3 linked regions of the Caenorhabditis elegans genome follow. The protein of the gene in region 3 interacts with the protein of the main gene of each other region in a pairwise test. Each region holds a gene or a part of one and is shown on either strand. Other genes may lie near its edges.

Evidence for each region.
Region 1: the proteins of gap-3 (region 3) and F25E2.3 interact in a two-hybrid assay, tested with the Caenorhabditis elegans proteins (one large-scale study listed by BioGRID).
Region 2: the proteins of gap-3 (region 3) and C05D10.4 interact in a two-hybrid assay, tested with the Caenorhabditis elegans proteins (one large-scale study listed by BioGRID).

Annotation. Positions count from the first base shown.
Region 1 is NC_003284.9:810,331-815,470, reverse strand, and holds F25E2.3 (Acyl-CoA thioesterase II), read left to right. Parts: upstream 1-2,353; 5' UTR 2,354-2,370; coding exon 2,371-2,397; intron 2,398-2,440; coding exon 2,441-2,556; intron 2,557-2,812; coding exon 2,813-2,867; intron 2,868-2,944; coding exon 2,945-3,032; intron 3,033-3,078; coding exon 3,079-3,206; intron 3,207-3,254; coding exon 3,255-3,320; intron 3,321-3,624; coding exon 3,625-3,829; intron 3,830-3,871; coding exon 3,872-4,069; intron 4,070-4,117; coding exon 4,118-4,218; 3' UTR 4,219-4,298; downstream 4,299-5,140. Other genes in the region: Intermediate filament protein ifd-2, read left to right, coding at 1-105, 149-246, 297-381, 522-998, 1,047-1,211, 1,272-1,448; F25E2.2 (Abnormal cell migration protein 18-like fibronectin type I domain-containing protein), read left to right, coding at 4,748-4,907, 4,956-5,075.
Region 2 is NC_003281.10:6,099,521-6,104,892, reverse strand, and holds the start of C05D10.4 (SAM domain-containing protein), read left to right. Parts: upstream 1-2,030; 5' UTR 2,031-2,151; coding exon 2,152-2,187; intron 2,188-3,462; exon of another isoform or gene 3,463-3,483; intron 3,484-5,372.
Region 3 is NC_003279.8:2,006,996-2,012,700, reverse strand, and holds the start of gap-3 (SH2 domain-containing protein), read left to right. Parts: upstream 1-2,175; 5' UTR 2,176-2,221; coding exon 2,222-2,281; intron 2,282-2,443; coding exon 2,444-2,536; intron 2,537-2,602; coding exon 2,603-2,697; intron 2,698-2,741; coding exon 2,742-2,871; intron 2,872-3,930; coding exon 3,931-4,113; intron 4,114-5,134; coding exon 5,135-5,379; intron 5,380-5,705.

The sequences.
Region 1 (5,140 bases), on a different chromosome or scaffold from region 3:
CTTGAAGCACAAAATCGAGTTCTTGAAAACGACATTGGTGTTTTCCGTAATGCAGCACACACACATTCGGAACGAATTGCTGTCTATTTTGAATCCGAAAAAGCCGTAAGTAATCATTTTTCTATTAAGCTTTAACTTTAAATTGCAGTCGCTTTTCACTTTGGTCCGTGAAAACAAAGCTAAGATCTCGACGGCTGAGCAAAATATCAGAAAACTGGAGCCAGATGTGATTTCTGCAAAGAAAAAGTTAGTTTTTTGTAAATTTACTATACAACTAGTTGTACATATAATTTCAGTTTGGAAAGCTCTTTCCAGCTGAGAGTTCAAACAAGAGAAGACAAAAGAAGTCAAATGAAAATTTTGTCAAACCTGGAGGCAGAGGTTAGTAGACACAATTTGTGTAAAATTAATACAAAAAATTATTTTTTTGACCTAGCAATAGTTCTGGTGCAACAGTAAAATTTCCATTTTTCAAATTGTTTTTTTGAGTTCTCCGATTTCTCAAATCCAACAATTTACAGAATTCTTACATCAAACGTCTCACAACTGACTGTGAAGAAGAAAAAAGCCGTGTCCACTCTGAAATTTCGCGTCTCCGAAGTGATATCAAACGAGTGCATGCACTGCGAGACAAAGAACGCAGCAAGCACTCAAGTTCGTCTCAAGAGTTATTGAAGCGTCTTAACGGGTGCATTTCACAACACGACATTGCCATTCGAGAGGAAATTAGCAAGGCTAGACGTGACACAACAAACAAGAACAGGGACTATTTCCACAATGAGCTGCACGCGGCGATGAAAGAGATTCGAGACCGATTCGAGAAGGATTCACGTGCCGCCAGAAAGACATGGGAGGATTGGTATCACAAAAAGATCACGGAAATCAAGAAGGGATCCGAAAGCTATAGCTCAATACAAAACCAGGCAAGAGAAGAGATTCTTCGAATTAGGTCGATTGTCAACGAGTTCCGAGGAAAGCTTTCAGATTCTGAAACTATCGTGAGTTTGGGAGTTTGGGATCATTTGTTGAAACGTTATTGAATTCAGAATCAACAACTTATCAAACGAATCGACGACTTGCACTTCCAAGACAAGGAAAATCTAAGATTGTTCGAAATTGCACTCAATGAAAAAGAAAATCTAGTAATTAAAATGAGAGAGGAATGCACAAAACTTTCAGTGGAACTTGACAAATTAGTAGAGAACCAGATCGTATGTTCAAAATTTAAAGTTTTAAATTCACAAATTTGTAAATTCCTTAATAATTTCCAGAACTTGCGAAACGAAATCAACCATTACCGCAAACTAATGGAAAACGCTGAGCACCTCCGTACCACAGTTCAAACCCACGTGACCTATAATGCTCCACCGCCACCCTTGCCACAGTCAGGCCCTAGAACAACTTCCTACCACGCCTATGGTTCGGCATACAACGATTCCTTATTGTAACAACTTCGATTGTCATGTTTTTGTTAATTTTGAGTATTGTAATTTCACAATTTCAAACCACCCATGTTCAAATGTACGGCTTGAACTTGCAAAAGTTTGAAGAATTTATTTTTCTCAATTTTCATGTTATTTATATGTTTTATGAATTAACGAATAAAATGTTTTATTTTACTTTCTATGTAACCATTAATCGGATGAAGGTGGGGTGTTCAGTTTACCAATGTAGATCAAAAATAATTCAAAAAAATTTTTTTTGGTACTCTTTCCCTTTTTGTTTCTGAAACCTGATTATGAAGAAGATGTAGGCTTGATGATGGTTGAAAAAAGTGACGTCACTGGGGCAGGGTTTTCTACACTTTTTTCGAAACGCAAAAGCCTTTTTAGTTGTTCTTTATATAGCAGCTCTGGTGTTTTTTTTTTCTAGCAGGCGTATGTGATTTGAAGTTCCTCTTTGATCACTTTGAAATGTAATAATGTACTGATAAACTGTACACGTGAGGTCTTATGTATTTTGTTTGTTTGGCCACACTATACTAGGCAACAAAATTCCAGTTTCCGCTTTTTCTGACTATAAATCATTGGTTGGCAACTCAATATGCATTTTCTGCATTTCTGAAATTATTATAAATGCAATTTCTCAAAAAAAAAAACGGTTTTTTTATATTTTTAAATTTTGAAGTTTTGAACAGTATGAATTCTGAATTTAGTAGCAAATGCATTTTAAACTGTTCAAATTATTAGATATCACTTCCTGTTCTAGTTTTTTTTCAAAGTCTCATTTAGCCTACACTGTTGCGTCGTTATTGTTTTGTTCGTCATCTCCACTCAATGATTTTCTCCCCAAACTTCTGCGTCTCTCAAAACATGTTTTCGCGTACACAGTTGAAAATTTGAACTATTATTTTCAATTTTCAGATTGATCATGGCAAAACCGAAAGCACCAACCGAGGTATGTTAGGGTTTGTTTCAATTGCAATTTGAAAGATTTTTAGGGAACTCCTTTGTGCAACGTGGAGCATATCGAGTTTGAGTCAAGAGCAAATGATATAAAAGCAGGGCTCATTGATACTTTTCTGAATCTACAGAGAATCGATACCAATCTGTACATGTAAGTGTTGGAAAAATGATGTATTTTCAAATTTTGCTCAACAACATTTTGATTGGTGCTCGGAGACAGCTCAAACATTTTTCGGAACAGTCACTACAAAAATATCCTTAAAAGTGTAAAAAGTGTTCAGGCATGTGCATTATTAATAAAGTCTTTGACTCTGCTTATAATATATTTTTGAATGATGTGACATCACACGTCGCACAATTCCTGACTCGATCATCACAAAACATGAGAACATTAGATTTTCTTGCAGCGCTCGCCACTTGTTGAAGGGTCGTCATTCCTACAATGCCGTTTATGGCGGTCAGGTAAGAAAACTCAAATTTTCAATATAAACTTCCAAATCCTATATATCAGTTCCCACCGATCATCCTCAAATATTTAGGTTGTTGGTCAATCGTTGGCGGCAGCAGCTGCCACCGTGGAAGATTGTTTCATACCTCACTCATTACATAGCTATTTCATCAAGACGGGTCAGTTGATAACAGAAGACGGCAACTGTTGTGTTGTGTGTTTCAGGGAGTGTGGACAAACCGATTCTTTACATGATCGACCGCATTCGAGACGGAAGAAGTTTTTGTACGCGAGTGGTGAAGGCTGTGCAGGATGGAGAGGCAATTTTTTCTTGCCAAATTAGTTTCCATCATGTATGCTGGGGAAATGGAACAGAGAATAAAAAAAGAGATACTTTTCAGAAAGAACCCGATGCAATTAAACATAGCTCCAAAATGCCGGAAGTAACACCTCCAGAACAATTGCTTGTAGGTTGCTTCAAAACAATCAAGTTTTTCCATGCAGGCACCAAAACGCCTGCCACGCGCTTTCTGTATAGTGCCGCGACGGAAGAACCACCTTTGGCACTATTTGGTGCAAACATGAAGCCTTTGATTGTTCGCCATGGCGTAAAAATAAGGCGAGAGGCCGGCGTGAGGCGGGCAGGTTAGAGGCAGGCGTCACGTCCTGAAAACAGGCCCACCTCCCATGGAAGCTTGAAATATAACTAAAAAATATAATAACATTACACTGCAATTCTAGGTTTACTTTCCATTATTATATATTTTCCAGCCAGCTCGAGAAGCAGCGCTGGAAGTGCTCCGCACGAAAGAAGTCGATGAAGTCACCGCTGGTGTCATCCAACATTTTTTGAAAGAAATTCCAGATGCTTTTGAGCGAGTTTTTGATGTTCGCCCGGTCAACCCAGCCAAGTACTTGCTTAAAGAAGATACTGAGCCAATGTCGATGATTTGGATTCGAGCAAGAGAGAATTTGGGTTAGAAGTTCAAAATAATTCGTTTTCAATACTATGATTCAGGAGATGATCACCGTCTCCATCAGTGCGTCGCTGCTTACCTCACCGACTTGAGCATGCTCACCACGGCAGTACGACCTCATATCAGAAACGGATTCATCCCTTCAATGTCTTTTTCCCTGGATCATTGTATTTGGATGCATGAAAATGAGTTTCGAATCGATGATTGGATGCTGTATGAGACAATTAGCTCAAAAGCTGGTATAAAATTCTGTAAAATATTTTTTAAGAAATGGCGTTAAATTCTAGGTGGAAGTCGTGCATTTATTGAAGGCCGTTTATGGTCTCGTGATGGTCGACTTATCATTTCGACTGCTCAAGAAGCACTTGTCAGAGCTCCAAAAGTTTGACAATATTTGAATATTTTGTTTGGTTGTGTATATATATTCAATTTTGATAACTATAAAATGAATAAATGTTTAGAATTTTGAAAAGTAAGTACCAAGTTACTTAACAATAAATTAGTACCATCACCAGAAAGCCTGCATCTAAGATTCGAAGCTTTCAAGAAATCCGCGTTAGCGTAGTAAAACAATTTAGGAAAAAAAATACTAGCAGAAAACTGTTTCCCTAGTTTGAGAAGTTTCAGGACTGTGGTCTCGTTATGGTCTATTTATTGTCATTAAAAAATAAACATTTGTCATATAATTGAGCTCTATGAGCTCCCCATTTTGTTTTTTTAAATAAAGCCCGATCAATAATAAATGTACCAGAGATGTATTTGATACTCGCAGAGACATGTCCGATCGGTTGATAAATCGTTCTCCCTAAATTCCCCCACATCTCTGTTCCCCTCATGTTTTTTTGCATTCTTTACTGCACTTTTTGACATCCCTCACCCATCCCAGCTCCCCAAATTTTCATTCCTGTCTTTTCGACATGAACATCGTTACTTTCCTACTTTTCGGAATATTTCCACTTTCAGCTGCAATTTCTCCAATTAACCTGGAGAATTGTAATCCGGGAAGTTATTTTGTGGAAAACTATATCAAGTACCAATGCTATCAAAGTGGAAGTGTAAAGGGTTACAATATTGCTGGTGGGTTTTGAATTAGAAAATTAAAAAGAAAAAAAAATAAATTTTTAGGATGCCAACCATCGAATGATCTCACCGGTGTCACTTTGCAACAGTGGGAGACCCACAACGAAAAATGGTTCAAGTATCACTGTGTAATTGATGGAACTAATGCTCAGTACTCTGTGAAGAGTAAGTCAGGAGATTTTTGTTTGTTAGTCATGTACCCCTGTTTAAAATTTTGGCTAACTGGTAAT
Region 2 (5,372 bases), on a different chromosome or scaffold from region 3:
GAAATAATTTCGCTTTTGTAATCTCTCACTATTTTATTGAAAGTATTAATCGAGACACTTAGGAATCATGTAAAAGTTGAGAAAATAGGCAGTCGTGAGCTACTCAGACAAGTCTGCATATTAAGAAAAGTGTAATTTTGCAGGGTTTCTGAATATATACCAAAAAATCAGACGATCTTAGGCATATTCTCTGAAATCTCTCACTTTTCCTATTTCTTTTCTTTACGTTCGGCTTCATCTTGTTGCGTAATTGTAGACACTGTCTCCTCCTCTTCACGAACAGTTATTATTATTGTGGTGTGCTTGGCTTGTAAAAAAGGTGTTTGTGTAGAGTACTTCCTACCTTTCGTCTTCTTTCTAGAAGTGTATACACATGATGATATCTTTCTTCATGGATTTTAGTAGTACTGTGTGTCTGTGTCAATATACCTCCTTCCGGACGGATGGCCATTTATTATATTCTTTCATCATAAAAGGTCATATGAGGTGTCGATTATAGGGTTTAAATGAATAGAAAGTTCTTCTTCAAAGACAAGTCTTAGTACGGATGAGGACTAGAGCCTTTAGTTTTTTTCTCTGTTGAAGATTTTGTTTGAAAGTTTTCACTTTCCGTTGAAAATCGAAACCAAATGTTAACCATGTGGTGGTCTGTAGATAATTTATGTCCCTCTACGGTTTTTATCACCTTTGTTTATTATCACTGATCGTTGTAATTAGGCCACGGTTTTTATGTTGCTTCTTCTTCTTCCTTCCTTTGAAATTTTTTTTTGAAAATAGTTGTTAAAAACCTGTTAAGATCTTTTTTATCGATACTATGTATACCACCGTGTTTACCATACGACTTTGAGAAGGAGGTAAATGTTGATTTTTAGTTTATAAATGATCTTTACCATGGGGGAATGTAGAAGGAGTAAAATGTGTTGTATACATTGGAATTTTAGTATGATATGTGGATTTTTTGGTTTTGAAATTCTAAGTTGGCAGTTAAAAGTAGTTAAAATTTTGGATAATGTGAAAGCTTTTAAATTCAACAGACCCTCAAGCTTCCTATGCTTCTCATATTCAAAAACACCTCTCTATTTTTGTACATTGCAACTTTTTTGAATTTTAGGACTTGATGGAGTGCTACATATTCCCATATTGGGACTACTGTTTTTGATGGTTTCAGACAAATCCAAAACTTTTCAACTATTAAAATATCTGAATTCAAAGAAATATGTGTTTTCCTGCCACCATCTCATGTTCACGATGTTTAGTATAGTTTCTTTTAACAACTATATTTACAAAATTGTTCTATAAATATTTGTGCTCATCTCTGGTCCATTAACTCTTCTGCTCTATTGGGTTGTCAGTTTTTTTTTCCAAAAATATTTATTTTTTCTTGTTTTTGTCCATTATTTCCATCAATTTCCTTCCATCAATCCACTCTCAACACTTCCTTCAATAGTATAGTTTCCACACCTTTTCGGCAAATAAAACACACAGACACCATCCAAAAAATTCGGAAGACTTTGTGTTGCCACGTCATCTTTTTGATCGGAAATGGTTCAACGCGAGCTGTTGCTCAAGTGTCTATTGAGAAGAGTGTGTTGTGTCGGAAGAAAATACGCTTGAAATTTCTGTCCGATTTTCAATTTCGATTGCTTATGAGTGTGAGCATTATGGATTAATTTGCTCCAGTTTCTGTCTTTTTTCCGTTTGGTCAATTTCGATGCAAAATGAATGAGTTTTCTGTGACCAAAAAGTTGATAAAGGGTTAATTTTTCATTGTTCCTTAAAGTTTTGCGCTCTAGATATTTTTGAAAATGATCCTTTCTTGTTTTATTTTTAGCCAATAATTGCTCTATCAAATTTATTGAAAATTTATTTTCAAAATTCAAAATACTTGTATCCCCCACTTTCATTCTTAATCCAATTTCTGTCACATCCGTTTCTCATCAAAAATAAAAACGAAAAGTTTTTCTCTCACCTTTGTCATTCTTTTACTAAAACTTCCTCCTTTACCATTTTTTTAAATCAGAAAGTTCCAGGTAGCCAATACAAAAATCAAACATATTTATTTTTGAATTATCAAGTTTTATCACTTGATAATTTTAAATTGCAAAAATAGCGACTTCAATTGACAAACCACAATCAAGGCATTCGTCAAGGATGACGGCAAGACCATATGAGCCACCACCGGATTATGTGAGTTTTTAAAAAAATTTTAAATACTGGTTATCTTCTGTATTTACTGGATATATAACCAAAATTTTGTAAGGCATTTGTTAACTACACTTTTTAAAATAAAAAAATAATTAGATTAATATTGTCAGAACTGTAAACTTTTAAAAAGTTAGATATTTCCCATTACTGTAATTTTTGGAAAAAATCTAACATTTCTGGAACTTTTCGCCTGTAAGGTTATTATGTTTTTTTTATTCGAGAATGTTTTGAAAAATTCAATACTCCGTCTTGTAAAGCGGTTTCAAACCCCACGTTCACGTTCACGTCCACGTTCAGTATTGACCAAATATTAGTATTATAATTGCTCGATGTGGCAGTTGAAGTTTAAACTGTTCTAGAAAAAGTTTAAAATATACCGAAAAAGTGAAGCAAAAAAAAGTTATTGATGGGTTTAATTTTTTGGTAAAACTGACTATGTCGGCATACGATTTTTTCAACAAATGTTCAACCTTTCCCCCCAGCTTTTTCTCTTCTTTTTGCAACTTTTTCATGTTTATTTACACAATAATATGTGCTCTTTTTCTATATTCTTGCTTTCCCGCGCACTCTCATTTGACAGTAGTATGTTCATTTTCAATTCTTCACACCAAAAAACTGGTTTTCCCGCAAGCGGTATCTTTTCTTGTTGCCGCTGTGGGAGCCGACCCGGCAATGACTTTTGGCACCTGTTGAAGCATACTTTTTCAACTGTCTTTGTGTGCATGCAGACTATGAACTCCACTTGAAAATTCATATCGGATTTCGATAGGATAATCAGGTTGGTGTGGGTAAACGTCTTAGGTTTTTTAGGGAAAATTAAAAAATTATAACTTCTTTAAAAAAACGTATTTTTAAACTTAAAACTTTAAAGATCGTGTGTGTAGAAACACTCAGTTTATTGACTTTTTCAAAAGATTAATTATATTTAAATAGTCGCAAGATGATGTAGTCATAGAATGCAAGAGACATATAGAGAGCACGCAGAGAAAGTCGCAGTTTTGATATTTCTCGGGGTGTTATCAAAACATTTTTCCTTTTTTCTCCTTTTTTTTCAAGAAGCCCCTATTTTTTTGAAAATTCATTATTTTGATCAAAGCGGTGACATTCTCAAAAAAGGATGCCTTCTTTTTAAATTTTTTTATAAAAAATTTCTCTGTGAGCTCTGTATCATCTGTTTTTATCCACAGTTTCTCATAATTGACGGCTGTGCTTAGAATCTGACAAACTGGTACCAGACTACTAGATCTTCTTTTTCCTCCGTTTTCTCTTCATTTTAGATTCCTAGCAGATTAAGATTGAATCATCAAATTAGTGAAGTGAAACCGTTGCTAATTGTCTGAAACAATTTGTTTACTGGCAGCTTGCGAAATAGTTTTTTTTGGCTTTGGCTTTTTTGGCTTGAATCAGTTTTGGATAATGTCAAAAAAATTTTGCCGCTTTGAAATTAAAGACAATAAAATTTTAACAAGACGATTTGTCTGAAGGTTACAGAGAATGACAAAAGGAGAATTTTTAAAATTCAATTTTCTTTTCTAATAGAGAACGTACTCAAAACTTCAATGATATCATATTATTGACCCTATCCGATGTTACAGAAAATTCTGTTTGTACAAGATATCCAGATGTCATATGAACTTTATCGCGTCATTTTTTCTCACCCAACTCCCAATTGTTTGCGTTTATAGATTTTTTTATTTTTTAATCAAGACATTCTAACATCACTTGGTTTTTGATAGTTTATCTAAGTTGGATATTTTTGATAAGAGCCTATATACATATATGAATAATATTTGAACATTTTGAACGCTTAGTGAATTGTTTGTGCATAAATTAAAAACATATCGGAAATTATTTTGCTAAATGCTTTTTTTGTTCTCGAGAATCACTTTCCTCGCGAGTCATCATCATCAGAATCGTAAAAGATATATCAAATATCCGGTGTCGTTTTCTTTTCGAACTTTCTCCTCCTCCTCCTACCTCCATCACTATTCCAATTATCACAAAGGAACGATGAAGCGTTTTTTTTTTGTGTTGAAAATGGCCTCTCTCCTCCGATTGACGACCTTATGGCTGCGTGTGGATCATCTTGTTCCCCTATTGAATTATCCTGAAAGACGACGAGAACATTGATTCAGAATGAAAGAAGGAGGTTTGAACAACTATCTCAAGATGTGTTAGGCTTATTCTTTCAACTTGAATGATCTTGATTTGCACTTTTTCTTTGGAGACCGTTTTTTGGCATTTCTTGTACGCATTGTTCTCGTTGCAATACGTTTAATATCACAGATACCAGTGCTCACGAATGTGACGGGAAAAGTGTTAGTTTCCCAAATATGTTCACTTCTTTTCTACATTTGACAATGTTTTTCTAGTACTAGGTAGAAATAAGATATGAACCATCAAACGTCTCTTCAATAACATTCGTCTATTTGTGCAAATTTTGAATGCTTTCAATTTTAAATTGCTTTCTGTAATTCTTTGGTTTTTCGAAAAGAAGACCAATTATTAATTTTGAACCAGCTGAGAATTTAACCTAGAAATATTTGAAATTCTTCGTCGATATAGTTTTTACATCTCCCCTCGATTGCAACTTATCCAAAATGTGTTCTTCCAAAAAAATGCTTATCATTTCCTTTTCTCATGAATTCCAATCCAGTGTTTTTTCATCTTCCTCCTCCTTCTTTCCCTGTTTTTGTGTAGCTTCCTCTCTGATTTCTCCCATTGATAGTATCGGCTAATAACCCTATCATTTTTGCTTCCCAGTTCACCTTCTTCCGTTCGTCCACCTTTTGGATGCTTACCCGAAAAGATCTCATCATCTACGCATGATTTATGACATACCCCACACACAACTTCTAAAACCAAAACGCCCAATTTACATAGATAATCATTAATGTCTCATGGCTACTTACAGCTTGATGACCACCGGAAGTTTATTTTACTTTTTATTGTTAACTTACAATTATAGAGTTACGTCTGCTATATTTACACATATATGTAGGTGCCAAATTATACAATTTTTGTTTTAGTGGAAAAATTATCAGAACCCCCAAAAATTCACTTTGCAATCCATTCTATTCACTTTAATATTTGAACCTTATCTAAACTCTTCATACGTTCTTCTGAATTTTGCAACATTTTCGACCTCTTTGTTCTCGTAGATCAAA
Region 3 (5,705 bases):
AAGTGGGCGGAGTCTAAATACCATAATTGACGCGCAAAATTTTGTAAAACTGAATACATAGAATTTCGCGGCATTTTTTTTTGTTTTTTGAAAAAGTTGAACACCGAGCCAAATTTTTAGTATAACAATTATTTTGAAAATTATATTACTAAATTACCAAAAAATTTTCCACGGAGTTCTGGTCTTCCTCGTTGAACTTTTCGCGCTCCATTGACAACCGCCTGCCGGATAACGCGTGGGAAAGTCGTGTACTCCACACGGACAAATACATTTAGTTTTACAACTAAAATCGAGCCGCGACGCGACACGCAACGCGCCGTAAATCTACCCCAGGTATGGTAGAGCCAAGATGGCCTAGTTCGGCAAAAACTCTTTTATTTCAATATATGAGGGAAGCCAGAAATCCGTGAATTTTTATTCAATTTTTTTTTTCAAAATTTTTTGTTTCAAAAAAAAAACGAAAAATTTAAAACAATTCAAATATCCTTTGAGGGCGGTAAACTTCAAAATTTAAAAAAATTTCTCAATTTTTGAATTTTAGGTTATATAACCGGTTATAAGAATTTAAAATTAAAATTCTTTTAGAAAAAAAAATATTGCAACAAAAAAAAAAAAAAAAACTTCCTCCGAGTAATAATAATTGGCAAAAAAAAAGAAAAAAAGAAGAAGCCCGGAGGAGCAGGAGCTGGTACTTGTCCCATTAATTTTCCTTTTTTTCTTCAAACAATAAAAAACAGCTGAATTTTACGGCAAAACTGCTCTAAAAATGTAAAATTTCATTGAAAAAGTAGGCGCAGCCAATACACCATGTGGTGTTTTGGCGCTGTCTCCACACGCAAGTAGTGCCAGGGGCTGTCCCAATACGGTTTGATCTACAAAAAATGCGGGAATTTTTCGCCCAAAAAAATGTGACGTCAGCACGTTCTTAACCATGCAAAATCAGTTGAAAACTATGCGTCTCTTCTCCCGCATTTTTTGTAGATCAACGTAGATCAAACCGAAATAAGAGACACTCTGACACCACGTGTACACGTTTAAACTTTTCCAGCTGTAAAAAATAAAATTTTCAAAAAAAAAACATAATTTTTAATCACATGTCTTGTTATCACTGTGTTATCTGTTATCACAACGACAATTTTTTTCACGAAAATTCTTTATTTTTAGGTATTACCCAAAATATTTGAATAAATTCCAAAACTTTCCGTGTTCTCCGTCCTCCATTTCCCACTTTCACAAATGGTCCATCATCCGAACTTCCGGTGCTCTCTCTCTCGCTGTACAAGAGACACAGAAAACCGAGAGAGAGACAGTGATTCGTGGTAGAGACGCAGACACATATACACACACACAGAAAAGTGATCTGGTGTCTGTGTGTGTGTGTGTATATTGTGAGAAAGAAGAAGAAGAAGACTGCGTGGGTGTAATAATATGCGTCCTTTTCTCCCCCCTTCTCTTTCGATTTCTTTTCTTCAACTTTTATCACTTTATTCACAACCTATTTCCTACCGTTTACCACCTTTTTTTTTGAGGAAACTTTGAATTTTTATTGAAATTGTTCAAGCTTGATTCCACGGAGTTGAAATCTACCAAATTCAAATTCCACTGCCTTCCCCGGGTTTTTTTTCCATTTCGATGGGTTTTTTAAAAAGGAATTAAAAAAAACGTTTTGTTTTCAAATTAAAAATTTAAAAAATAGACTGAAAATTAGCAAAACTGGGATTAATCCCACGGAGTTGAAATCTACGGAGTTCACTTTCCACTGCCTCCTCCGGATTTTGTATTTTTTAAACATTTTCTAGTACTTTTCGATGAAACTTTGCATTTTTTCACCTAAAATTAAAAAAAAAGTTTTCTAATTAGCTGAAAACGATAAAAATAAGAAAAAAAAAACATTTGCGGAGTTGATATCTATGGAATTCACATTCCAAAATCAGGCCAAGACAATTAAATATTGTTTTTTTTTAGCTTCCAGCGCAAATTTTCGAATTTCCAAACAAAATTTTGGTTTAAAACTCTAATTTTCTACCTGAAAATCAGGTTTTTTCATCGAAAATCATCGAAAATTAATTAAAATTCAAATTTCCCTCCATTTCCCCAGTACGTACACCGTCACGCAAAATTGCGTACCCGTCCGATTTTTCGCATTTTTTTGAATTTGTTTTCCTGTTTTTTGATGAAAATCAATAATTTTTTGGCATTTTTCAGGTGCAAATGAAAAGTTATGCACTCAAGCGAGAATACTACACCTAACAGCAGCACGGAAGGGCCATTGTTTCTAAAAGTGAGGGCGAAACAAGTGAAAATCGAGGAAAAAAAGGAAAAATTAGAAAAAATTAGAAAAATACCATTTATATTATTTATTTTCATCGAAAATCAATTATATTTACAGTTTAAAATATTCTAAAAAATCCTAAGTTAAAAAAAAGGAATTGTTTTTTCGCAGACTCACACGAACCCAACACCGCCTGATATATCGCCAAACGATGTGTGGTACCATGGGGAATTAAACGAACACGATGCCAATCATTTGCTTCAGGTTTCTTTTGCGAAAAATTACAAAAAAAATGGCAAAAAATGGCAAAAAACCGGCAAAACATTCCAGGGCACATCTCCCGGCGCGTTTTTGGTTCGGCAAACTGGCCAGACGAGATTTTATCTGTCGATATTGGATCAAGACGGCTATCCGAAACATTTACCGTTGGTTTTTAAACATAAAAATTTAAAATTCAAATTTTTTTCAGCATCCGCCAACTCACCCCACCTCACTACTTTTTCGAAGGAAAGCGTTTCGAGACCCTTCGAGATATTGTAGATGCCTATCAGCTGGCTGTGATTCCAGTTCGAAAAGGAGGAATTATGCCGATTAATGGGGTATTTTTTTGCCCCATTACGGTTTGATCTACAAAAAATGCGGGAATTTTTCGCCCAAAAACATGCCAAATCAGTTGAGAACTCTGCCGCATTTTTTGTAGATCAACTTTATTCAAGCCAAAATAAGACACTCTGACACCACGTGTGATACACCATATTTGACGCGCAAATTTTTGCATTATTGGATAATTTGTTGGATTTTAAAGTGATTTTTCAGAGAAAAAAAAGAAATTTATAATATTGCGCGTAAAATAGAGTGTCTTGAGTCTGTAATCGAGTAGATCAAATTTAACGCGCAAATTTAATTTAAAAAAACAATTAAATTACTCCATGTCTTACGAAAACACAAAATTCTGAGAATGTGTATCACACAACATATTTGACGCGCAAAATATCTCGTAGCGAAAACTACAGTAACCCTTTAATTGACTACTGTAGCGCTTGTGTCGATTTACGGAAGTCAATTATTAATCAATAAAATTAAATTTTAAAAGAAATCTCAAAAATGGCAAAAAAATACAATTCTCATTGGTTTTTTCGTTATTTTTTGCCATTTTTGTGTTTTCTTTTAAAATTTAATTTTATAGATTAATAAATGATTTCCGTAAATCGACGCAAGAGCGCTACAGTAATCATTTAAAGGGTTACTGTAGTTTTCGCTACGAGATATTTTGCGCGTCAAATATGTTGTGTAATACGCATTCTCAGAATTTAGTCTTCCCGTAATAATTTATAATTTGTGCGTCAAATATGACGAATTGGTCAGAATATCGATATACACGAATATAAAGTTTTGTAGAATTATCTGTAATAGTAGTAGTTTTTGCGCGTAAAATATGGTGTATTGAGTCCGTAATCGAGTAGATCAAATTTAACGCGCAAACATGTCCACGTGGTCTCATTTCGGTTTGATCTACTTAGATCTACAAAAAATGCGGCAGAGTTTTCAACTGATTTTGCAAAAAATTCCCGCATTTTTTGTAGATCAAAACGTAATGGGACAGTCGCTGGCACCCCGTGCATGCCGGAATTTTAATATACCATAAAATTTGTTTCCAGGAAATCCAAGAAACCAAGTACCTATGCGTTAGACGATTCGAACAACGCGAAATCGACGAAATGAACTCGGAAATCGGTGATATTCTGTCAGTTTGTGAGACCGACGAGACCGGATGGATGTTAGGACGAAATGAGACGAGCGGTTCCGTTGGAATTATTTTAAGATCACATTTGGAACCTTTGGTAGGGAAAAGTAGGAAAGACTGGAAATTTCTAACTGAAAATTTGAAAATTCTAGGAAAAAACTGATGAAAAATTACAATTTTTAAGCAAAAAAATGTTACGTTTTTTTTCACAATTTTCTACAAAAAATTTAAAAAATTAATTAAAAAAGGCGAAATTGTGCTAATATTACGGGAACACAAAATTCTGAGAATGCGTATTGCACAACATATTTGACGCGCAAAACATAAAAATATCTCGTAGCGAAAACTACAGTAACCCTTTAATTGACTACTGTAGCGCTTGTATCGATTTACGGAAGTCATTTATTAATCAATAAAATTAAATTTTAAAAGAAAACACAAAAATGGCAAAAAAAAATTACGAAATGTCATTTTTGAGTTTTCTTTTAAAATTTAATTTTATTGATTAATAAATGATTTCCGTAAATTGACACAAGCGCTACAGTAGTCAATTAAAGGGTTACTGTAGTTTTCGCTAAGAGATATTTTTATGTTTTGCGCGTCAAATATGTTGTGCAATACGCATTTTCAGAATTTTGTGTTCCCGTAATATCTAATGTAGGCTTTGGCGTACCAAATACACTTATTTTGGTACAAAATCGCGGCGAGACCCATTTATAAATTGCCTACCTAATGCCTGCCTGCTGAAAAAAAAAACAAAAAAATTTTTTTTTTTTGGTCCAAGCTGGATTTCTCCAATTTATTAACACTATTTGAGAAAATCGATAAATCTCGATTTTCGGGGGCAGAAAAATCAATAAATTAACACTATTCAAGAAAATCAATAATTTGCCAAATTTTTGGAAAATTCGATAATTCACGTGGTGTCAGATTGTCCCATTACGGTTTGATCTACAAAAAATGCGGGAATTTTTTTTCCAAAAAAATGTGGCTTCTTCAGCACGCTCTTAACCATGCGAAATCAGTTGAGAGCTCTGCCGCTTTTTTTTGTAGATCAGCGTAGATCAAGAGACACTCTACAACACCGCGTGAAATTCTCAGATTCCGTGCTTTTACAGATCACAGAGGTGGCCGATTTGTCGGATCTACCGTACTTCTACGATACAGTATCCACGGACATGGTGCAATACAGCCCCATTGGCACATTTCTGCTGCGTCGATCGTCTAAAGGAACAGATACCTATGCACTGCTAGTCAAAACTCAATTCGATTTGGTCGAAAAATTCCTAATTGTTGGATGTCCGTCGAGAGGGTTTAGCCTTGCTGGTAGACCATTTCCCACTATTGGACATGTTCTTACAAGGTATAGTTTAAAGGCGCATTACGGTTTGATCTACAAAAAAGCGGGAATTTTTGGCCGAGAAAAATGTGACGTCAGCACACGTTCTTAACCATGCGAAAAAAGTTGAGAACTCTGCGTCTCTTCTCCCGCAATTTTGTAGATCTAGGTAGATCAAACCGTAATGAGACAATCTGACACCACGTGAATTTCTAGGCCACCAATAATATTCAACAATATCGTGGTGCTGAACCCACGTGGTGTCAGAGAGTCTCATTTCGGCTTGATCTACGTAGATCTACAAAAAATGCGGGAGTTGAGACGCAGAGTTCTCAACTGATTTTGCATGA